Linked DNA regions of Styela clava. The protein of the gene in region 1 interacts with the protein of each later gene in a pairwise test. Links are inferred from orthologs where the notes say so. Each region holds a gene or a part of one and is shown on either strand. Other genes may lie near its edges. The genes, in order: mitogen-activated protein kinase 1-like, deoxyhypusine synthase-like and splicing factor ESS-2 homolog.

What was found.
Region 2: the proteins of mitogen-activated protein kinase 1-like (region 1) and deoxyhypusine synthase-like interact in a two-hybrid assay, tested with the Caenorhabditis elegans proteins (2 studies listed by BioGRID). The link is inferred for Styela clava from reciprocal best matches to the Caenorhabditis elegans genes mpk-1 and dhps-1.
Region 3: the proteins of mitogen-activated protein kinase 1-like (region 1) and splicing factor ESS-2 homolog interact in a two-hybrid assay, tested with the Caenorhabditis elegans proteins (3 studies listed by BioGRID). The link is inferred for Styela clava from reciprocal best matches to the Caenorhabditis elegans genes mpk-1 and ess-2.

What each region holds. Positions count from the first base shown.
Region 1 is NC_135252.1:7,506,248-7,514,329, reverse strand, and holds the start of mitogen-activated protein kinase 1-like, read left to right. Parts: upstream 1-5,030; 5' UTR 5,031-5,097; coding exon 5,098-5,204; intron 5,205-6,568; coding exon 6,569-6,751; intron 6,752-7,326; coding exon 7,327-7,516; intron 7,517-8,082. UniProt on the Caenorhabditis elegans protein: Functions in let-60 Ras signaling pathway; acts downstream of lin-45 raf kinase, but before the lin-1 gene product in controlling vulval cell differentiation. Plays a negative role in proximal germline proliferation in the mitotic zone.
Region 2 is NC_135254.1:16,768,757-16,776,717, reverse strand, and holds the start of deoxyhypusine synthase-like, read left to right. Parts: upstream 1-4,948; 5' UTR 4,949-4,963; coding exon 4,964-5,152; intron 5,153-5,924; exon of another isoform or gene 5,925-6,240; coding exon of another isoform or gene 6,241-6,429; intron 6,430-6,925; coding exon 6,926-7,049; intron 7,050-7,630; coding exon 7,631-7,793; intron 7,794-7,961. Other genes in the region: WD repeat-containing protein 46-like, read left to right, coding at 403-593, 1,786-2,043. UniProt on the Caenorhabditis elegans protein: Catalyzes the NAD-dependent oxidative cleavage of spermidine and the subsequent transfer of the butylamine moiety of spermidine to the epsilon-amino group of a critical lysine residue of the eIF-5A precursor protein to form the intermediate deoxyhypusine residue.
Region 3 is NC_135253.1:8,327,341-8,335,256, forward strand, and holds the start of splicing factor ESS-2 homolog, read right to left. Parts: upstream 3,031-7,916; 5' UTR 2,847-3,030; coding exon 2,766-2,846; intron 2,415-2,765; coding exon 2,243-2,414; intron 1,851-2,242; coding exon 1,760-1,850; intron 760-1,759; coding exon 628-759; intron 263-627; coding exon 121-262; intron 1-120. Other genes in the region: sedoheptulokinase-like, read left to right, coding at 3,214-3,294, 3,575-3,737, 4,389-4,565, 5,033-5,225, 5,646-5,821, 6,336-6,605, 7,827-7,916. UniProt on the Caenorhabditis elegans protein: Regulates pre-mRNA splicing.

The DNA.
Region 1 (8,082 bases):
ATCCACGCCAAGCCAAGCAGTGAAGTACGGTCTATCGTACCGTTAGCATTACCGCCATTCACCGGTAACCTCGAAAAACTTGCAATCCGCTGTCACGCCAACGGAGGAGTGCCTGCATATGCGTCCGCAGAACGTTCAGTGACGTCATAGCAAACAAAAACAAACCTTACAGAGCTAACAGAAATATTTGAAATAAATAAAAGTAATAGCCTTCTGGAGAAAAATTTCATCTTTAACCACTAAAAATTTCAAAGCAATTGGTCCGATGATCAAAGAGAAAAGCATTTTTTTAATATTTCCACTAGGTGTCCAAAAAGTGTCAAAGAACAACATATCAACAAAACGATCGATATGTCCACTATACGTGTCCAATTATTGATTCGTTAACCAAGGCAAATGTTAATATGAAGACATACATACAAATGAATCCATCTGTAAAAGAAGAATACGAGATGAATCATAATGTGTTTAATCGGAACATGATGGATCGTAGTTTGCAAGTTATTTTTTCCTTAAAATAACCAAGGCGAAACGGGCCGCATGAAACCGGAGCAAGAGCCATATGCGGCTCGTGAGCCGCGGGTTGGTTACCCCTTATCTGGGAGGACATTTTGCTTGGGACACAGAAGAATTCATCACACCATGCAAAAAGCACCCGAAATGGGATCACTCTCTCTATACCTTAGCCATCAAATCAACTTCACACCAATATCCTTTTCATTATGTAAAGCTAATTTGCCCCGGTATATTGGATAACTTTTTTCGCTTTCTTTTTTTTTTTTTTTTTTTTCTAAATAGAATTATATTGAAATAAACAATATCAGTAATACAGTCATAAAAAGTATCACAATGTTTGCATTCGCAATCTAATTATGTTATTAGAAAACTGAGAAAATCTGACATTATATGTATATACCATACAGGGGCAATCATTTAGCAAATAAAAATCTCACCTTTTAGGTATATACCATATAAGGGCAATCATATAGCAAATAGAATAATATTGAAATAACAATTTTTAATTCAGCAATACAGTTATAAAAGGTAATTTCTCACAATGTTTGCAATTGTAGTCTAATAATGTTATAAGAAAACAGCAACATATCACATCTTATGTATTTAAGGAAAGAAAAACAATAATATGTAATTAAATAGCAAAAAGTCACTTGATCGACTATTATATAAATAAATGCCACTTTCTTTTGTGTATCAGGATTTTACCATTTTTCATTGCTATATACCCAACTATGATCATTCTATTAGGGCGCCACCACGCGGAATCCATCGGAAGGTTATTTTGGCTGTTGACTGCTGAGTCGCCCGCCGTGTTGTTGGTTTATAAGGCTTTCTTTTGTGTTCATTTGGAATATGAATCAGCGAAATGTTACAAAAGTTATGTGCCGGTAGCCTACATAATGTTCCTAATGCTGAGGAACGCAAATTGCAAATGCTGAAATCGTACCAGTTTCTCTCCGCTCTGCCGCTGCTCCACTACCGGTACAGCAGTGCAGACTGACACCCCCCTGCACAATACAGCAATATGCTGATATGACCAGGCGTCTAAAATATACCGGTACAGATACGTTTCGTCCTGTGCCGTACTGTTACCTACGTTGTACAAGTAGTCTATGGTAAGTTCTGGCCAATCTGCTTTCTTGATCCCGCTATTCTCACCCTGTTTATAAAGAAATAAAGTATCTATCACTGTCAGCCTATCCTGCTGTGTTCCCTTATTACTGTATTACAGTACTGCATTATTAATTATTGCTTTATTTAGTTATTTTCTTATACAATGATTGTATTGTCATGATCATTTCTGCTTGGTTTACAGACTTTTCGACACAAGCTGTTTCGTCCCGCACAGCCTTAGCCTTTCCAACTACTGACAGACTGAACTACTCGATGGCATTAATCTATTAATTATAAGGTTTACTGGTTTCAGGAGTCGCCGTTCTTACCACTTCATGGCAGCTCCCGCCACGAACGAATCGTGGCGTCTCTTGCCATGGCGCTATTCAGTAATACCGGTATATTCACAAAGTCGTGTACCAGATTTTAGTTTATCATGCGGAATTATATCTATTTAAACCTCAAATCTAACCTCAAATCTATCCAAATTGTATTTATAAAAAAAATGTTCCAACCTACAGACCTACCCAATATTTATTACCATTAGGGGCAGCCCTACCATTACAGCCGACATGCCCTGTTTATGGCAGAAAAATTTTACCCGCCTTTGGTTTTCAATTTGCTGTCGCGGTAACGGCAGCTCGCCATTGGTTTGTGGCAGCTAAAAAGTCAGTTGCCATAGGTTTGGCTATAGCGGCCATGGTTTGGAAATCTTGCCATGGTTTTGCGGCAGCTTTAGACGCCACAAAATACTTGAAACTGCACTTGGGTTTCAGGTTTGAGTGACTGATGACTGATATCCAGTTGCTTTGCATTGTAAAGGAGACACAGAGATTTATTCACATATATTTGTTTAAAACAGACCACAGTTGTGATTTATTCTCGGCGATGTGGCCCCTGATTACCCTGCGCGGGTTCGCAGAATCCTGTGGGGGTTAACTATGTGCAAGAGAATGGCTGAACTCCTTGTCACCGGAGGGTGGTTCGCGTATTAATAGCTGCTGGTTGTTTACGGCTTCTTCCATCATCAACTCCCAATGCGAATGTCAGTTGGGCACAGTTCTCCGATTCCAAGATGTCCCGACATTTGGTTCAATAAAACAAACACTCTATTTGTGTCTGAAACGAGAGTGCTGGCACAAAGGCAGTTCTGCAGATTGCGCCATGCTTGTCTCAATAATGATTTAACATGTGTCAGCCATCACATGACCGAAATTCTCCCCTGCCGATGGTTTTTTGCTAAAATGAATGCTAGGGTAAATTTTTCTCTTCGGTAAATGGGATTATTTTTTTCAAAGTAAACCCATGGTAACGTTTTTAGATTGCGCTTCATCTTAGTTTATAAGACTGTTTCGTAAAGGAAGAGTCTGCATTCACTGTTATAATTGATGTCTTTTATGTTCTAATTGATGTCTGATGTTGAGTGAATTTAATAACATACCCTAAAATTTTGCCTTGAACCAGTTTTACGAAGGAAGAATATAGTACTGTACATGCGCAAAATATGATATACAGTATTTGAGTCTGGGCAAACCTGATAGCGCTTATTATTTCGTAACAAATGAAAGTTTAATCGCTGCCAAGGTTTAGAAATGAACGTGCCGAATGTCGTATGTCTTGACTGAGAAACGATCTTACAATAACTTCTGCAGTATGCGAAAGTTATTGTCTCACTCCAAGAGTAGTGTGATAAATTGTATTCACAACGACAGCAGTGGCATTAGAATGCCAAATTTTTTATAATTCCAAGTTAGCGAAGACTGTAAACTAGAGGGCAATTGTAAATTAGAACGGAAGTTTAAGCAGTTGTGTAACATATATGGTTTGAGAATATTTATTTTTCGCTGTTTAAATAATATGGATACTTGGCAAGATTTCTTGAGGAACATTTAAGACTGAAAATTAGGCATGCTGTAGATCTGAATCGTATTACTCAATAAATCTCAAATAAGCGATGAAAATTTACTCCTGGTACAATTACATTAACAAATAACATGGAACGATTTTTATTGAAAATGCGCCTACAGAGCCGACCTTATTGGGGCGTTGGAATTTTTCGTATGCGTGTGTGCAGTGCAGTCATTTGTATATTCAGTACCCATTAGTTATATATATATACCCATGTTACTGATCAGTCGATCGCGAGCTATTTTGAAGATTTTAGTCGACCGCGGTCGAAAGCAGGTTGGCCACCCCTGCTATATATGATAAATTGTACAAAATTTAAAGCTAAAGGGTGAGCAAATTTTAATTACTGAAAAATAGCCACTCAAAAGAATATATAGACAAAAATATAATGTAAATGGGAAATTTGCTTGTGCAGAATTTTGTCAAGCGAGCTATTTGGCGGTTACTGCACTCTAAAATCTGGCATGGAATACTTTTTTTTTCATTTTATGATCATCATTAATAATGCAAAATCTTTGATCATCATAATATAATAATATTATTGTGTCTATGTATAGCAAATGGTAGTTATTGTTTCTTTTAATTCTGCAATCGCCTTTGAGATATCTATATATAATATATGAGGCATTGCTTAGGTTTAGCATTAAGAATGGAAGGTATAGGTAATACCCAGAAATGGCCAAAATGCAATAATTTACTACTGTATTCCAAGAACATTTTAATACAATATACCCAAATGTGGAATACCAAATATATTTTAAATTCGGCATTTTGGTATAAAGCTGTTGTTAGAAATATTTTTCTTTTTAATTACTAGACCTATCGCTTTGAAATTTTCAGTGGTTGAAGTTCACTGTTGTCGATGTATATTCAATAATTGGTTTGAGTTTGAAAGTAAAAAAAAGCTGAGATACAGTGAGACTTGAACTGTTCTAAATGATGACTTTTCAAATACAAATCGATCTGAATCAATTCTAAAATCGAGAATTCGCATGATATTCAGTATTAGTTGTAATGGAATAGAAGTAAACTGTAGCAGTTTGTTTGATTCATATTAATACTGCTATGCTATTTTATCATGAACATTTTTGAATAGTGATGATTTTTAGGGTTATCAGCTGTTGGTGAATGTGTAGTGAACAACTGTATCATGAATCATGATTAATACTTTTTTGACTGAATGTAAATTGTAACCGACTTCCTGTTTGGCTGAGTTTATGGTACTCTTGCCAATATTTCTGATCACCTTCTTTAGTAATATTTTCCAATACCTTAGATTAAGTTTTTTCAGGAATTGAGCTCAAGGTGCAAGGGTTCTACGCTAGTCAACAATATACCCCAGACTTCTTAGTAGGATGTCAACTCTTCAGAATTCATTAGTTATGTTTGAATGATTAGTCAAATTTATTCTGCATAGATTACTTCATGTTATATTATTTTTATTTTATTAAAATTTGGTTCTGATTAGAAAAATTAAATATAACAAAAACTCTTTCTTTCTTGATTTATAGTTCACATTCACACTATTATAGTTTATATCGTTTGAGGTAAATTTAAAGCATGGAACGTAAGGCTTGTGCTGAGGTGGTGAGGGGACAAGTTTTTGATGTTGGACCAAGATATTTAAACTTGTCATATATTGGAGAAGGAGCCTATGGAATGGTTGTGTAAGTATCTTATTTTCAATACAGAATTGCTACACTGGCAAATAGGTCAGCATTAGAGTTTTTTATTTACTGTTAATGTAAAGTTGGATTTTGTAATAATGTTCTTCTGATAGATATAATTTTCATATTTCAAATGTAGGATACTTGTGTGCGATACTTTTTAATATTAATTATTCCTAATTGATCAATACATATACTATAATTGACTCGCAATAACATTGCAAATTTGCAATAGGGCAAATTTTAAACTAAATTATTTCCCGGTATTGGATATTCATAGGGTGATGTACTTGAAATTTCAACTTCAATTCAAAATAAACTTGAAATTCATAATAAGTTTGTCATCTCGAATTGTTATCTCAAAATATCCGTTAGTTGGATATAGTGTGCATATCAAAGTTTTATTAATATTACTAATTCAGAAGGGTATAAAATATCGATCATGATTATGAGCAAGATTAACCCTGAATAAGATTTATCAGTATTCCGAGAATTATTTTTTCCTCAGCATTTTCATCATATGTTTAGCAGCTCAGTACCTGATATTGTTGTTGTCCATAGTCAATATGATAAATATGTAACATTTTAAATCCTGTATGGGAACTATTTTTCTGAATTCATTGATACTACAATCAATTCTCAAATGCACTTGTATTCTGTAATATAATGAAGTAATAAAAAGAAGATGAATATAGATCTAAAGCTTTGTCATAATACAGTTTCTTCAAACATAGGGTAGAGTTATGAAAGTCAAATATTTACACATTATGTACTAGACATTTTCAACTAATAAGAAATTGTTTGCCTAAGAATACACTGGATAAGATTGTCGTCACATGCTTGATAATATTCAATATTATCATGATCTACCCCTAACTGCTGGTCATGTTGAAATAAAGTTTCTTTGTTTTTATGGACAGAGTACTTGTTTTGAATCTAACATAAAAGTTTCACATGTAATTTTTACAAGTGTACTGTCATTTTCAAGAGAGTGTTCAACTGTATTATAAATAGTTGCATATTACTTAATGGTAACTTATTTTGAGGAAAATGCAATCAAAAAGAATATTGTATATTTTTCTTACAGATTATTCAAAAATGTGTTTTATTTTTGGGTAGTATAGCCATATTCATACAATTCAGATCAAACGAAATTGAAAATCTTGATAAATTGGACTTGGAAATTATGGTATTTGAAAACTTTATTCGATAAAAAGTCATTGCATGAAGAACTGGTAGAGGGAATAAATTATTAAATAAATTTATTCCACGAAAAAAATTATATTCTTGAGCTCAGGTGACATACGTCAACTGTCACATGACCAAAATATTTGCACTTGTTATAAACTCGAACTATGGTTTAGGTCTGCAATGGACACATTCAAAGGAACAAAAGTGGCTATCAAGAAAATTAGTCCATTCGAGCATCAAACTTACTGCCAGCGTACTTACAGAGAAATCAAGATATTGCTCAGTTTCAACCATGAAAATATTATTACGATCAAAGACATCATTCGGTCTGCCAATATCGCAAACATGAAAGATGTGTAAGTAGATTTATTTAGTTATAGTTCAAACTTCATCGATTTCACATACATTTTCCAGTACTTATTAACATTGGGCTAGGTCATATTCCTCAACACGAGAAAATAAGTAGCCACTGGATCCCGATTTTCAGTAAGATATTGACTGTTGAGTGATGTGCACTTCAAAATTTTTTCTGTTATATAAAGCCAGAATTTGAATCTTCAAATTTTTCTATTTTGTTCATCAAAAAATTCAAAGCTAAATGTGAATATCCATAATTCAATAAAAAAAGTTTTTAGTCAACATCTCTTTCATCATAAAGTTGATAACGAAATTTGTAATACTGTATGTCCCACAAAAAAATGAAAATCAGATATTTTAATCTGTTAGTTGATTTCAATAAATTGGTGTAAAACTCTAATTGAAGTTTTTAAATTTACGCTATAAAAACACTATTTACCACAAATTTTTATATACTCGACATTTAGAATTCATCATTTTTGTTCTTAGTGTTGCTCTTAATCTTTAATTTGAAATGACCCTTCTAAATTTTTACCTCCTTATAATACATCATATTATCTATAACTCAATTTAGACACATAGTGCAAGATTTGATGGAAACCGATCTTTACAAACTGCTAAAAACTCAGCATTTGAGCAACGATCACATTTGTTACTTCTTGTACCAAATCTTGAGAGGATTGAAATACATTCATTCAGCTCATGTGATTCACCGTGATTTGAAGCCGAGCAATTTGTTGCTAAACACCACTTGCGATTTGAAGGTGATTATTACGTGGTATATATTGATTTATTGCAGTTTCATGAAAGCATGATGTGAGTCATGTATTTTATAGCGATGATAGTGAAGCAAAATATATGAATTCATGATGTGTGATCACCTTCCTATTTGACAGGATGTCAACATAGGCTTGGTGGTAGTACACTTAACTAATAAGGTACTAAATAAGAGTGTGGATGGTCAACATTTTTAAAAATGCAAAAATATGAATGAAATCATGCTACTATATTATTATATCATAATTAAATAAATCCACCTCAGGTTTTTTTCAAATAATAATCAATTATGTCAAATATGCCCCATTTTTCAAACTATTTAAACTATAACCATGGGTGTGATGGCCTTGTGGGTAAAGTGAACGACTTTACTATGTTAAAATTGCTGGTTCAAATTCAATGCCCACCACTTCACCTAGAGTGTAATAAATTGAGTAGGTAATGCCAAATCGGAAAGATTCCGATACTTTCAAAAACTAGTAATTTATTAACTAGAATATCGGTTAGAAACCGAAGACTTATCGATCCAAGGTTAGGGGATACCCCAAAACAG
Region 2 (7,961 bases), on another chromosome or scaffold:
CGAGATTCTGTGTGAGTATCCATCCAAAGATGACATTTGTATATCTTCAACCCCTGATGATAACATAGTTAAGCACAGTGCTCTAACCAATGGGCCAATGATTCCTAACCTTTTTAGCAAAATGAATCTTGGCAGATGCAAAATACTGAAAATTAGATTTGTTTATTAGGGCAACTATAGAAACATGATTTATTGCTTAACATTTGCTACATATGTACGTGCAAGACTCATGCGGACCCACTCAAGCCTGCAACCTTACTAGGCCACAGCACCACCCTGTGTTCGATATCAATTAATCGAGAATTTCTGATCATCCTCCACCTCCTGATAATAGCAATTTTTAAATGGCCAACATCTTACCGACCATCCATTTCTTCATTTTGTTTTGAACACTAATAACAGGTGCTGGGGAACCTAACTATGACAGTATGGAATCAAATCCATATAGAAGTAAGTCCCAACGAAGAGAATGGGAAATCAAGGCATTGATGGAAAAAATACAACCAGATATGATCACACTTGATCCTCATCAAATTAGTGCAGTTGATAGAGTTACTGCACAGCAATTAAGGAAAGATAAAGAGGAACGAATGGTAGGTTGGACTAATGTGATGTGACTGCTCGGCACAAGTGGTTTTAAATTCATGGGGCCGTTAAGAAAATAAAAAGCGCTGATTTTCTGATGAGGGGTACCAATGTCCACATCAGTGGTTAAGCCGTCCCACGCCCAATCTCTCACGTCCAATCTCAAAAATAACTAGCTAACAATATGCTACAAATAACAAACAGTATGGCGAAAGTAGTATGTTTTTTCAGAAAACACGTTAAAAATATGTGCACAAAATAAGGCTGGCAAAATCGAATTTAACAAATATTTTTATTTTCAATTTGCTTCACGTCCGCTCAAAAAATTGTCTACTTCCCCCTTGTGGGGCGCGGCCCACTGTTTGAAAACCGCTGGTCTGAATAATGAAATATTCTTGAATTCTAATATTTGGTGCTCCCAAAGTATGTGCACCAAGATGGCACACAGCCTGAACCCTAATCTGGTACACATACTATGTTCAGAATCTGCGCCATCTTGGTGCACATACTTCTGGAGCTCCAAATATTTTATATTGCCCTTTTGCAGTAAAAATATGAAACTAGTCCAGTTAAATCAAGTTTCACTCAATAATCCAATCAATAATAAAAAAGGAAAAACTTTTATAAAAGTTGAAAGGCATTGAAGCACACACCTTGGCAAAGTCTGAGGAACACCTGGCATGAGCTGCAAGTGTACCCATATCTTTCAAGGCTGGAAGCATATGGTAACCTATGTAATACACAATGACCAGTCTCAGACCTTCATCAGAAATGTCAATCACAGTCTAAAACACTGTTTGACAAGGTTAATCAGTCTGACTCAAATTCCCTTGTTTTTTGACAAATCTATGTAAACTTCTTATTCTAATAATGGTTGGTGCATGGTGGTACTGTCTTGAAGAAGGTTGTTAGGTCATGAAAAAATGTTGAATACAAAATCCATTTTCTTTGGAAAAAATGCTAAAACAAATTGGCTAACATTAATATATATTCTACCAAACATTCGAAAAGAAGTTGTATTAGAAATAAATTCCAATTGTATGATCGGGCAAAATTGAAATACTTGTCTGAAATTGGATTTGAGTTCTGGCGTTTCATGATTGTTGCTTATTATCATGACAATCCAAGAACGGTTCAACAGTAACCTGTGCGAGACCCCTGAATCCCACCATTTGTTATCTTTGCTTTTGATGTATTCAGGGCTTCGTGAAGGAAGAGAAAAAGTTTGAGCCTAAATTCAAGAAAAAGGGTCGAAGTTCTGCTGGAAATATTGAAAAAAGAAAACAAGTTGTTAAAGATTCTGAACTTCGAGATAAAATCAAAAAGGACATGGATTTGAAAAGGAAAATTACAGAACAACCGAAAGATGATGAAAACAGCAATCCTTATACTTTTGAGGTTTCTGGCGGCAAAAATGTTAACAGATCAGCATTATCACGATTTGTCAAGAAGAGGTGATGTCCTAGTCATGCACAATCAGATGATGAGTCAAAGCATACAAGGAAGATTCAATTTCACTTTAGTCAAATTGTCCTTAAATATGAGCCACAAATTGGCGAATCATGTGTAATATATATGCCATTCCAACCAGTGAGGCAATGAAACAAATCTAAGTTTCCAAGAATTTGAAATTTACAAACCTAACCTCTTAATATTCGCTGGTAGTGCCATAAAAAGGGACCACCAACTTTTCGGACTACAATGTCGCATACGACCTGTCCTATGAATCCCCATTTATTTGTATATTATTTTTTCAAACATCTAAGGTGACTAAAAATATAAACTTAACACTACGAAGTTTAGAAACCCTTCTGTATGCCATCTCGTGGGCTGAAAAATCTGTAAAATTCAATGAAAGGCATGTACCAATTTATAAGTCCCTAACTGGTGTAGGTGAGAGAATGTACTTCGCTCTATTCCTCAATGCCACTTCAGCTGTAAACGGTTCGTGAAAGTCATTTAATGCTTTCATATAATGCTTTTTCTGTCACCGTGGCTTCACATTTCTACAAATTCTCGTAGTTATATTGTTGAACTTACGATAGGTATTTGTCATAAGTGGAGCGTTTGTATGTGTCGTTTGGGTTATTAGGCTGATATTTGCCGGGTGTCTCAAATATGTCGTAACCAACTTGTCCCAGGGCAAAGTGAGACGAGACATTTTCGAGACACCGATATTTGTCTAATTCAATCAACCGAGAGAGTTTTCTCAAATGTTGTCAAGCGCATTCAATTTTACCGCCGAAATAAAAGTTGTGCTTTTATATAAGTGTTAAAATTGAACAGAGATTCACGTAGTTCTGTGATGTGAATTAGGCATTGTCAGTCGTACCGAGAGCATCTAAATTGCTAAGACCAGCCATATATACCAGTAATTCGGGCGTTTTTTTCTTTTCATTTGAAAATACCATTGCAATTTTACAACGTTATTTATGGGGCTATTTGTTCAGAAAATAAGATTCTAGTCCAGTGGGTTATACATCGTTGGACTTACGAACCGTGATGTAATGTAAATGCGGATATGCAGTGATGCCTCTATCATGAACGGTTGCTGTCAATACCGTATCCTTTTCAACCGCCGAATGCCAACGATCTTCCGACCTTGCACAACAAACTGGTGCTTTAGTTCGTTATTGGTGTTCAGTTTTGAAGTCCAGTGTCTTGTCAATATTTCAGGTACGTGTATCGGAGTTATAGCCTACGTGTTCTTATATATCTGTATGCAACTTTGCATTATGTGACCATTTGGCGATTAATTTAAATTTGCCACGGAGGTGAACCTCCACTCACAACAGCGTAAATTTTGTAATTAGCAATTGTCCAATTCGTTACTAGGTGTATAATATATACTTGAGTTCTTAACGGTAGAATACAAAGGAATGGGATTCGCTTGTAAGGCGGTCGAGGCAAGCGATCAATATTGTACAGTGAAGGTGATGTTAGAAATAAAAGACTTTAAGACTCCAATGAAAATCTTTTCTTAGAAATAAATGGCGGTTGGCTACCTTACGAACAAACAACTAAAGACAAAAATCAAGAGACGCTTTTTTGCGATGATTTTTGAGTAAGCCGCGCAACCTTCGGTAACCAGACGGTCGTATGTACACGATGTTAAGAAATAACAAAATTTCGGCATTCTGGCGATTGGGAACTGCTCTTCCAGAAAATGATGTGTGTGTTTTTTTGTTTTTTTTCAAATGTTAATCCTGCAATAACATTTTGAATTTGAGATCACTTTAACAAGTCAAGTTGTTATAAAACTTCTGGCATCAGAAATCCGACATCATAATAACAGTTTAGGCATAGAAGCGAGAGGTGGGAGTGCATGGTTCATAAATAAAACATAACTGATAATAAATTTATCTTTGTATTAAAAAACGAGTCTACGATAATGAAGATCCGAAATAGTAAGTAATATAATAACTATTCGATTCGTTTTTGCTAAGAAGATAAATTTGTATATATATATAAATTAGTATTTTCTTGACTTTGTTAAAATATTAAGGCATTATTAATTACGCTTTCACGCATATAGGGAGATTTAAGATGATACTCGAGAAAGAAAAAAGAAATTATTCAACAGGACCAATATTGAGGTCTAAATTAGTCTGACCTTCTCGAATTATTTTATTAGAGACTGGGGCAACGAAGATTTGTCAATGGAAATTTTCATGGTCTATATTTATGAATTTTTAAAAGTATACATTAGAATACTTACTTGGCTTACCGACAAGTGTATTTCCCCAAAATCGAGCTGTAATTTTGTGCTGGATGGAAAGCAATCAGATTGTGTTCTGATCAGAATAAATTTTATCATAGAAACGCTTATAGGACAAAATGATCCAAGTGGCAGGAAGCATAAACGGAAAACAAAGTAAATTATGAGAGCTATTTTACTTCTCACTCGAGAAATTAAAAAGATTCTAAATGACAGAAGTTTTGAAGGACAGATTGCATCGTTATCAGGTCCACAATCTCTTCATCATTTTACCTTCTTAAACAATAAGACAAGCAAAATTGACGTTTACCTCACCTCAGAAGAGATTCAAAATTTTAAACAATTCCACTTTTGTATTAAACCTAGTAGTATATATTTACGATTAAACTCACTAATAGCAGGGTTGTCATTTCAGAAAACTTTGTCAAACTTGCAAGGGTTCTAAAAACAAGATTTGTTAATTGTCATGACATTCCAAAAACGGTGCACCTTCGAGTCCCTCCACTAGCAAGCCAATAAGTTATCAAAATTCAGGTAGTCTTGCAATACAGGTGTTAACTTGGTAATGAGGATAAGTTCACAGTTTATTTTTTTTTTATCAACGATGCAAATATTTCACAGATATCTAGTAATTCAATACACTGAAGTAGATCATTCAAAATGTCGGCACCTTCGGAGTCAGTTGGAGCTGTTTTTGTGAAAAGTGAACGAATGCCAAAAGCTTCGAAAAAAGTTTCGGGTTACGATTTTAATGATGGAATTGATTATCCTACTTTGCTTGGATCTTATAGAACTTCTGGATTTCAAGCTCAAAATTTTGGACGCGCTGTTGAAGAAATAAGTAAAATGGTAAGCTTACCGAAGAAGTAGGCTACTCAATTTATGATCATCTATATACCCTTCGTGGTTTAATATTATACGATTTAACCTCGGTTCTCAATTCCTTTGTCATGATTTTCAATAAGTATGAGAGAGAAGGACATAAAAATAGAATTATGTCGTATTCTTTGTCTTTTGTTTTAATAGGATACTTTTCACGGTAATTACGATATCGGTGTACTACAATACATATCCTTAAATCATTGTTATACGGGTACTTTACCATTGCAAAAGTCTGAAAGTGCTGATTTTAAGAGTATTGTTGCGAATTGGTGCATTTAGATTGGTTTACATATTTAAAATCATCATTTAGCCCCAGAAGTTCAGGCACTCGTCATAATAAAAGTACCTACAGCTAAGCTCGATAAACCCCATTCTTCGATAGTGTTTTCGATAAAATCAACCAAAGTAAGACATTTCCGTTCATATATAGGGGCTGAATTATTTGATTGACAACTATATATTTCGTAAAAATAACTAAAAACTAAAAAATAGTACTGAAAAATACGAAAATAAATTAACGTTCACAATCATGAATCAAGCCTAAAAATTTGTCTGAGTGAAAAAAGTGACTAAAAATATGCCTATATATTCTAATTGTTACGTCACTTTTACCTTCCTGCTGATTCGACTTCATCGCGAAAATGAGCAAAGAAATGCTCGTGTAAATGTTCATTCATTGTCATTTTGCTAGTTTGCTACAGCCATTTCAGCCATTTTGGGGGAAGCACCTTATATTACCCTGGGTCAAAGGTTGTGGATATGAATGAACACGTGAGTAACCTGGAAAAGAGCACAACACGAAGAGGTTCTTTTAGATCGATTTGTCCCATTTTCCCCATCCATAGCATGCCCTGACGAGAAGAATATAAAGTTTTGAGAGACATTACTAGTTTTAACGTGTTGTACTGTACAGCAAGGACTGAAGGCAGAGGGCTTTTGTGAAATCATACCGGTACAGTCTGACGGTACCGGTACGTGAAGGCACCGCTGCGGTGTATTACAGTACCTACGGTAACAACAATCGTCAGTATCGTCTACCTGCATCTCAGTTCGGTATGGCGGCTCCCTCGGAGTCTGTAGACGCTGTTTTTGTAAAGAGCGAAGCCATGTCAAACGATTCCCGGATAGTTTCTGGTTATGATTTTAATGATGGGATTGATTATCATAAGTTACTGGAGTCCTATAGGACTTGTGGATTTCAGGCTCAACATTTTGGTCAAGCTGTGGAACAAATTAATAAAATGGTAAGACGTTGGAAAGAAAACATTCTTTTCCCATTTTTTTAGATTTCTAATGATAACCCACCCTGCCACCTGTTGCGCTTGCATCACCACTCGAGTTTGGTATAACCCCATCCATAATTATGTCACAGTGACGTAATGTGGCCCGCCAAAATAGAAAGGAGTCGATCATCTGAAATCGAGAACTGTGGATGACATACTGTTAGATGTTCATTGTTTGTGTATAATTTTTTTGCGAGAAAAACAAAATATACTTATACTTATGCAAAAGGTTAGGAATGACATATGCCACTAGAATTACTCATAGTACTATATCATACCAGACCCCAAAATTATAGACAAAAACTATTTTATATGAAAGATAATAGATTGCTTGCATTTTTAGGAAACCTCTTCTATCGATTACTCAAAACATTTTTTTCTATATGTGATTGTGTCAATAAATGAATTATTATCATTCATTCAAGTGAATGTGTAATATCATGAAATTATTTCTCAGATTGAAAAGAGACATGAACCATTGTCTGAAGATGACTTACAGAAAGTCAATTTAAATCCAATTGTTAGAAAGAGATCAAACTGCACAATCTTCTTAGGGTATACTTCAAATATGATGTCATCTGGTAGGTTTATGAACTTTGTATGAACATGGTCGAAGATATTTTATTTTATGTTTTTTCTTTCTTTTTTTCAACTCTCATTTTCACCTTCCGCTCTGAACAAGGTCATGTACAAGTATCCAATGAATTTTAACAATATATATTGTTGGGAGCTACTGTTTTTCGAAAAACCGTAAGCTTCCCGGTTTAGCTTTGCCTACTCAATTCATAGGACTCGGAGTGAGAAAGTGGGTATTTGAACCTGAGTTGTTGCCTGCGAAACCAATAGAGTTAAGTCTATTGCTTTAAATTTGCTGTGGTACATAATTGTAGTTTAGGAACATGATGAATAAAAATTCATGTTTATGTAATTATTCTTTATAATATTCAACATTACATTTCTTCAAGAAAAATGTGGCACAGCATAGTTTGATTTACATATGATCGATTTAGAGCTCAATTCTATAACACATTATCATGTAATTGATTGATTCAAGTATGTAATATAGGGAATAGGGATGCCCATATAAGAACAGTGTACTTCTCTACAATTCTGTCTTCTAATTTGGCAGAAAATGATGATAATTTACTATGTTTTTTGCCAGGTATCCGTGATACTATCAGATTCCTAGTACAACATAATCTTGTTGATTGTATCTGTGTGACGGCTGGAGGAGTGGAAGAAGATTTCATCAAGTGCCTGGCTCCTACTTACCTTGGAGATTTCAAATTGTCTGGAAAAGAATTACGGAAAAAGGGAATTAACAGGTTGAAAACATGAATGTATCCTGATCTATGCATTGAATATACAATATTATTGATATTGGAATAATGATGATGTCGAAGCAGGGTGAATGTACTCTTGCCACTGTACTAAGGAATAAGGAAATTATAGCTATTTCTCGCAAAGATATATACAAGATTGTTTTTATGCTT
Region 3 (7,916 bases), on another chromosome or scaffold:
AAAGAATATGATGGGAAAAAAATTCCAAAATCAAAATTTAAAATATGTTTCTATCAGTTATAAAAATTGAATATACCGTAGTATTATACAAAAGCTTATTTATAGAACAATGCAACTCACATTTTCAGACCCATCTGTTATTGCCAGCATCTTATTGTTCGTATCACCACCTTGTAACATGAGCATTTTCTTTGTATTTTCGGCATGTTTCAATTCTGCTTCATACAGCCATGAATATTTATTTCTTTGATCTTGTTCGGCCCTGATAAAAATATAAACCATTGCCATGGTGATTTTTGAATAATGCTACTCAGAGTTGTGAAAAATCATTAACAGTTTCTCAGCATCATCAACAGATAAACTTCTAAAATATAACCCAGCTCTGAATAGAGCTTAGAGTTATGCCATATGATTCATAATAAATTCTTCTTCTTCATTGATATAGTTGAGAATTTGAATGAAATTAGATGTGACACAGACACAATCTATATTAAACATTTACTATTATTGTAGACAAAACTCCAAGACATCTAAATGCCCAACTCTGGGCATAATTATACAGAGAAGGGAATTAGCCCTTACGATTATTACTTAGACCTTATATTATCAAAGCAAAGTAATACTAACTTTTCCATAATATTTTCGAAAGATTCATTATCTTCACTTGTATATTTGCCGAGAAATGAATTCAAACCATCTCTAACATCCGATTGTTTAACTTGATCCTCTTCATTCAGTAATACGTCTTTCTTATCATAACTATAATTACAAAGAGTTGAAATCATTATTTATTGTAATAACAACATTTTGGTGATTATCATATACTGTAATTTTGACAATCCAAGAGACTGGCATTACAATCCTGTACAGACACCAAGTGACCATAAAAATTATGGTAAGCCGGCCTAGTGGTTGGAACAGCGGTTCCCAACTTGGGGCCTATGGCCCCCTACACAGAGCAGTTGGAGGGGGGCCCCAATGCTAGTCGTAACCAAATTCACTTTTCACTTTATAAGAAAACTCCCTGTTCTATCTAGTATTACTGCTTGATATTGATTATTTCACAAGGTGTTTTAAATTTGTTGAGCATGAATTGTTTGAACATAACGGGATTTGAAATCTACCAATCAAATTAAACCTATAAATATCACTGGAATGATAAACAGGGGACCCATGAACATGACTGCTAAAAGCCTCCGAAAGGGGCCGCGAACCATAAAAGGTTGTGGTCAGAGAGACGAAACTATGCGGGCATTGCAGATGAAATACTCAGGTTCAAATCCCATGCCCACCACTACCTCACCCAGGATATATATAATAAATTGGGTAGGAAATGCTGAACTGGGAAGATTTCTCTCCTCCCAATCATAGTAGTTCCTTATCTAGCAGTGGTTGTTTTGTACAGAGCCTTGTTCAGGGTGTAAGGCATGAAAAATGCCACATAAAAATACAATGAGGTGAAAACTACCATAACGACATTTTTAAACTATTGTAAACATTTATCATAAATGCAAGAAAAAATGTAGAAATGTGATTGCTGAAGAACTTTAAATAAACACAGGAGAAAACCTTTTGAATGATATCCGTACTCGACTGTATGTATGATTGTTTATACATCCCATAAATAAATACATAGCAATGAAGATATTAAATTTGGAACAAGAGTCATATACAAGACCATGTCGGCCTACTGTACATATGTGTGGCGTGCCCGCCACTTATGATTGACAGCATATAGAGTAAATTAATAAAAACCTACCCAAGATTTTTTGAATTCAAATTAGAGCTTGGAGTCATTTTTTCATCAATTACAGGAGTGTCAAATGTGGCAGGTGGCAGTTTCGTTGAATCTGTAAAAGAGAGTATAACAAAAATGCATTCAAGTACATTGTTACAAGTACATTTACTTTTTTCATCTATTTCATGTTTATAAACGAAAATACATATTTTAGAATTGTAAATATGATCATGTGATCACATTAAAGTTCGTCGTATCATAAGATTTGAATCTGTCAATATATTTTCATACACCTTATTGGTTATGGACTCTTATATTGATATCGAGAAGGAAGAACATGTATATCTTATGGTGTGACCGACATCGTAGCAGTTCAGCTCGGTCTACCTAAATTATTACATCATGGATGGCGCTTGCAACTGAGATACGTGTACTAACAGCTAAGCCATAGCTCCGCCCGATCTTCGAAAGCGTAAAAATATTTATCTGAGATTCATAATTTACCAGTATTTGGAGTAAATGTTGGATTGTTTTGATTTTTCTTTCTTGAAAACTTGAGGGCAATTTGTCTCATTTTCTCAAAATCTTTTTTCTCTTCGGCCTCTAGATATTCCTTTTGATCTTTTAATTTCTCATGATCGGGAAAAAAGTCACGGGTGATGATTCTTTCAAGATTCTAAAAATATTGTTTTATTAATTACAGACCAATATTCAGATATGTAAAATGTGCAAATATTTCATCTTTTTAAAAGTTTTTTAAGAATAACTAGACTATATTAAAGTGATAATAAAATGTTTTTTACCTCTACCAACAGACCAATGGCTCGAATTTGGTGGCAATTTCACGTTTTTGTCAATTTCAGTACCTACTTACTCAACATATTGATAGAAACAAAAAATGGCAGCATGACTGCAAGCAGAAGTTATTCTAAACAGTCAAGTTCTATGACTGTATGAGGCATTAATTCAAATTAACTGACTAAAAATCAAGCTTGTAGCCTGGGTAAATATGTTATCGTAGGCCTACCTCTGTATATGTTTCCTCATCCAAAACTTGGGGTTGTTGACGTCTTTTCCCTGTCAGTTTATTATATGTTTCCAATGCCATTCTGCTGTTCTGTGGTATACCGTACAGCTTTACAGCAGCAGCACTAGCAACTCAGACAGTGATTTAGGAATGGCACACTTAACTTTAAAAATTCCACTTCTACAATCGTAGAACAGTAGAACGCCCACTCTAACTGCAGAACTGTTATCAACTGTAATTATGATCAAACAATGTACGACAATACGGCAAACTGTATGTACATACCGTACGTTCGCAATACGTCTTGTTTTCAGATTTTACGAAAGAAACATCAGCTGGTAATATCGAGCTTACTCATCCATCACGGAACTTTTATTATGACGTAATTTGTAAATAAACACACGTGCGTTTTGTGTTGGGGAGTTTGTTTTTTGCAAAGTTTGAGGGAATGACTGATGTACTTGGGATTGATATTGGCACCACATCTGTGAAGGTTGTCGTGGTTTCAGAAGATAATGGAGAACCAAAGGTTTGATCCGATAACGCTATATTTTGTGAAATAGCATGCGCTTATTCTATCGTCTGACTGAATCATATGATACTTGCACTGGTTTATTGCTTAGTCACAGTTGATTGTAAAATACAATGTAACCATTTAATGAAATCTAGGTAACCATTGAGAATTATCTCGCGAAAGTGCCACATTTATTGAAATTCATTGAATAAAATAATTCTTTACAGTTTAAAAATAGAATAAACCATGTAGCTGAAAATTCTTCCAATCAAAACAAATGGAAATCTTTTTGCAGATTTTTGGTTCAAAGAATCTGTGTCATAATGCAAATCTAACAAGTTCTGACAATGTATCACACTTTGAACAAAATCCAACCAAGATATTGACAGCATTAAAGGAATGTTTGAGATTGTTGAAAGAAGAAATAGGGACAAGAATAACTACAATAAATACAATTTGTTAGTTACTGTCAACAGTTGTTTGTTTTGTTTCTGATAATTCTTACTAAATACAGAAATAGAAACAATGGCAGTCAAGTCCAAGAAAGTTTTATTCTTTTCAATATCATGTATTTATATGTTTTATCAGGTCAATAAAGTTGCTTTTAAAAGTGAAATCTAGATTAGTAGTTACATATTACATGATAAAGAGTATAACTTATGGATAAGAGAAAGTTGAACTAAATATTATATCTTGCACTCATGTAACATGCTATAGATGAATGAAATTCACTCAGAGGTTGTTTATATATATATATATAACAAAAACAACTTCACAGTATATGTTATGAACTTTATATTGGAGCATGAGGTATGTTTGCGAGGGAGTCTGAAATTGAGTTGGATTATCTGTGGCTCATTTCTGATGGGTGGATTAGAGCTACAATATTTGAGCAACTATCAAAATTGAGCCACAGATGATCCTTGTTGATTGTAGCATACATCGCTGGCATGTGTTAAACCCTGATATAAAGCTCATATCATATGCTTCAAATTTTTCTTTCTCATATACACATGTTGGTATTTGCTTGGTGGAGCTTTATTTGGGGCAAAGTTATGACACCCTATTAAAATATATTAATGCTTTATCAAATTTGTTTTATATTGTAGCAATATGTGGCCAAATGCATGGCTGTGTGCTGTGGAACAGTGACGATCAGACCAGTGTTGAAAATGATGGAATATATTATCCTTGCTCTAATTTAATAACATGGCAAGATCAGAGGTGTGACTCGGAATTCATTTTATCACTACCTGTTCCAGAAAAATGTGTCCCTGTTTCTACAGGTAAATGTATGGCAAAAAAAGTTATTGATGTATGTGTGATTTATCTAAAAGATTGAATTTCTGATAATTCAGAAATGAACTTTCAACTACCGGTAATTAAAATTACAGAAAGTTTGGCCGACCTTTTTCAAATCATTTTTGAATTGCTGGTGAGATTTTTACACTCTGATTATCATACAATATCTGCAATTAAATCTTTTATTTGAATAGTAGGAAGTTGCAGGAAAACTATGTTTTTTTCCATTCAATTTTTAATCTAGGTCATTTACAGGACAACTAACTAGATTTCACAGATACATGGCTGGTACAGAACCATACTTAGGTGTCAATCACTCCAGAGTATATTCAAGTTTCAGCAATTCTTTGAATATGAACACCTAACAGTGAATACTCCATATGGTACTTGAATCATTGATTGGGATTGTTGTTTCAATCCATTTTATAATTTATATTTTCTTTCATTTGAGGATTTGGATGTGCAACAATGTTTTGGCTGCGAAAAAATTCTCCTGAGATTTTATCAAAATACAATTGTGCTGGAACAATAATGGATTATGTTATTGCAAGTTTGTGCAAACTCAGAAAACCAATAATGTCGACTCAAAATGCAATGAGTTGGGGTTATTACAACTTCATTGATAGGAAGTGGAATTTGAAAATGTGAATATTTTATCTCTTTCATTTGATTTCTTTTTATTTTGTTGAACAAGACTGATGTTACATCATTGTAACCAGAGTATGGAAACCTTTGTTTTATGATGATCGTAGAACTAACATGAATCTTAACCCAAAAGAGAAAATTAACAAAACACTGCTGCATCATTACCAATACTGCTTTAGTAGTAAGGTAGTAAGAATGGCAATGTTTAGTTATTTTTTCATATTTACCGTGTGTTTTTTAATCTGAGTGTTTGTTCCAATTATGACTATTACATACTCATTTTGGAGGAGCTTTTATAAATAATCAGCCAGTTTTGCTGAAAGAAATTACCATGATTTTTATTTATTCCTATAGGATATCTTTTTTTATTGTAATGCATTTTTGGCTATTACCTATTTTTATATTACCCGATTTTCCAGATTGAAGAAAAATGACTTTCCTGTAAATTTCTTACCAGACATTGTAAATCCAGGCAACATTGTTGGAAAGTCACAAATAGATTGGTGTGATATACCGGCTGGTATAGATATTACTGTTGGGCTTGGTGACATGCAGTGTTCTGTGCTTTCCTGTGATCCAGATTCCTCGACTGGTGGTAAATATTATTATTTGGGTGTATCTATAAATGTATACACAATTAATAATTGGTTATGTGTTAATGGTTATGTGCTTTTTCGGAAAACATAAATTTCTTATTTATTGAGGCTCGTACTCGAAAATGGTAGTGCTAGTAAACGACTGCCCCACGTACCTATCCTATGAACAGAGCTAATACTCAGAATATTTATGCTAAGAATATATTTTAGGTCAGTTTGTGTTAAGAGTGTAAAAACATCAAAATTCTAGTCAGCATTCAAATTATTTTATACCCTGATTAGTACGATATTTGTTTGTAGCTCTAACTGAACACTTAAACTATTACATTAATGAAGTTTCAAATTGTATTTGGATTTTTTATATTTTTACATTTTCCTAAACATATACAGTACCGTAGCTGTAAATATTTCTAAATTAATATTCATAATGTCACAAGAATTCAATCCATTCTTACCACGAACATCAATAGTGAATCTTCAGATGAAAAAAAATATTTCATTTAATGTGTTCAGTTTTCAACCTTGGCACAGCAGCTCAACTTTCTACAATACTGCCAATCCAATCGGGAATTGAACATTATAGTTTAAAATATTCTGCAACCGTACCTTCATCATCTATTTGTGTACCTTACTTTGGGGATTTTTGCTTGTGGACTTCGGCATCATTAAATGGTGGGGCAGTATTTGAAAAATTTGCAAGTATGATGCATAGGTGGACAGTACAATTTGTACCATCACTTACTATGAGTGATGTATATGAAAAACTTATTGACATTGATAGTGGTGAGTATATATGAATGAACTTTAATTGGACCTCCAAAAGTATGCGCACCAAGATGGCGCACAACCTGAACTCAGGTTGTGTACCAGGTTAGGGTTCAGGTTATGTGCCATCTTGGTGCGCATACTTGAGGAGTATCCTTCAATTTATAATGATTACTTATCAATTTTAATCGGTAAGTATGTTGATAGGTATTTGTCTGTTTGTCTGTCTGTCTGTTAGATGCACGTGATATCTCACGAAAGCGAGATTGAATCTGCTCCAGATTTTGCATGTTCATTCATCATATGTCGGACCAGAAGCCTATTGATTTTGGATGAATTATGTCGTATAATTAGCGAGTTATTAATTAATTAGTGATGTGACACAAGGTGTCACTATGGAGTAAGAGCGCTGTTTTGGGGATCCCCTAACTTTCGATGATAAGTCTTCGGTCTCTGTCGATATTCTGGTTAAAGTATCATAGATTTGACTAAATTACCTAGAGTTTGCAACAACAGCAACAGTAATCTGAAACTTTTTCACGCATTTTACTTCAAACAAAGTCGAGTAGAGACAGGCATGTAAGACACTGACATGTAAGAAACTGATATTTTCGATATGTATCCTGTTTAGCATTTTCTACCCAATATATCACACCCTGGATGAGTAATTGGTAATGGGGTTTGAATCAACGATCTGTGACTTGAGATGCTTTTATCGTTAAGTTCAACGTTCTTACCCATAGGTTTTGTCCAATTTTTGAAAATTACCAGTGATTCTCTAAATTGATTAATTTTTACTGCGATTTTAAACAATCCACTCTGAATCATTAATCCTAATATTTTTACAATATTTGTTCAACTAAGAATAATATTTTACCCAGAGCTGTAGAGTCGGAGCTTGTTTTTGTTAATTTTATTTTTATGCATGTGAAATTTGCTAGCAGCAATTTGTTCTCTGGAAAATTCCACCTGGTAGGATAGGATTTACATACCGTGTTTATTCCGAGAAAGAGGAAAGCCGATAATATGGCTCAATTATATGGCGAACAACGGTCGCTTATTTGGTTACCAGTTCATGTGGGGTATAAGATTAGTTAGCCAGTTATTTGTTTCAGATACATGAACTTGATAGTAGAGGAAGATGAACCGACCAGTGCTTACGTGAACCACTCTACACTGACAATGAAGTAAAAAACAAATTGTATATGTCAGTGTTCATATAGAAAAATTATTTTAAAGATGCAGAGCCTGCAACAAGTATGACAATTAATCCAACTATATATGGTGAAAGACATGATCCAAATAAACAAGCTTCTGTACATAACATCA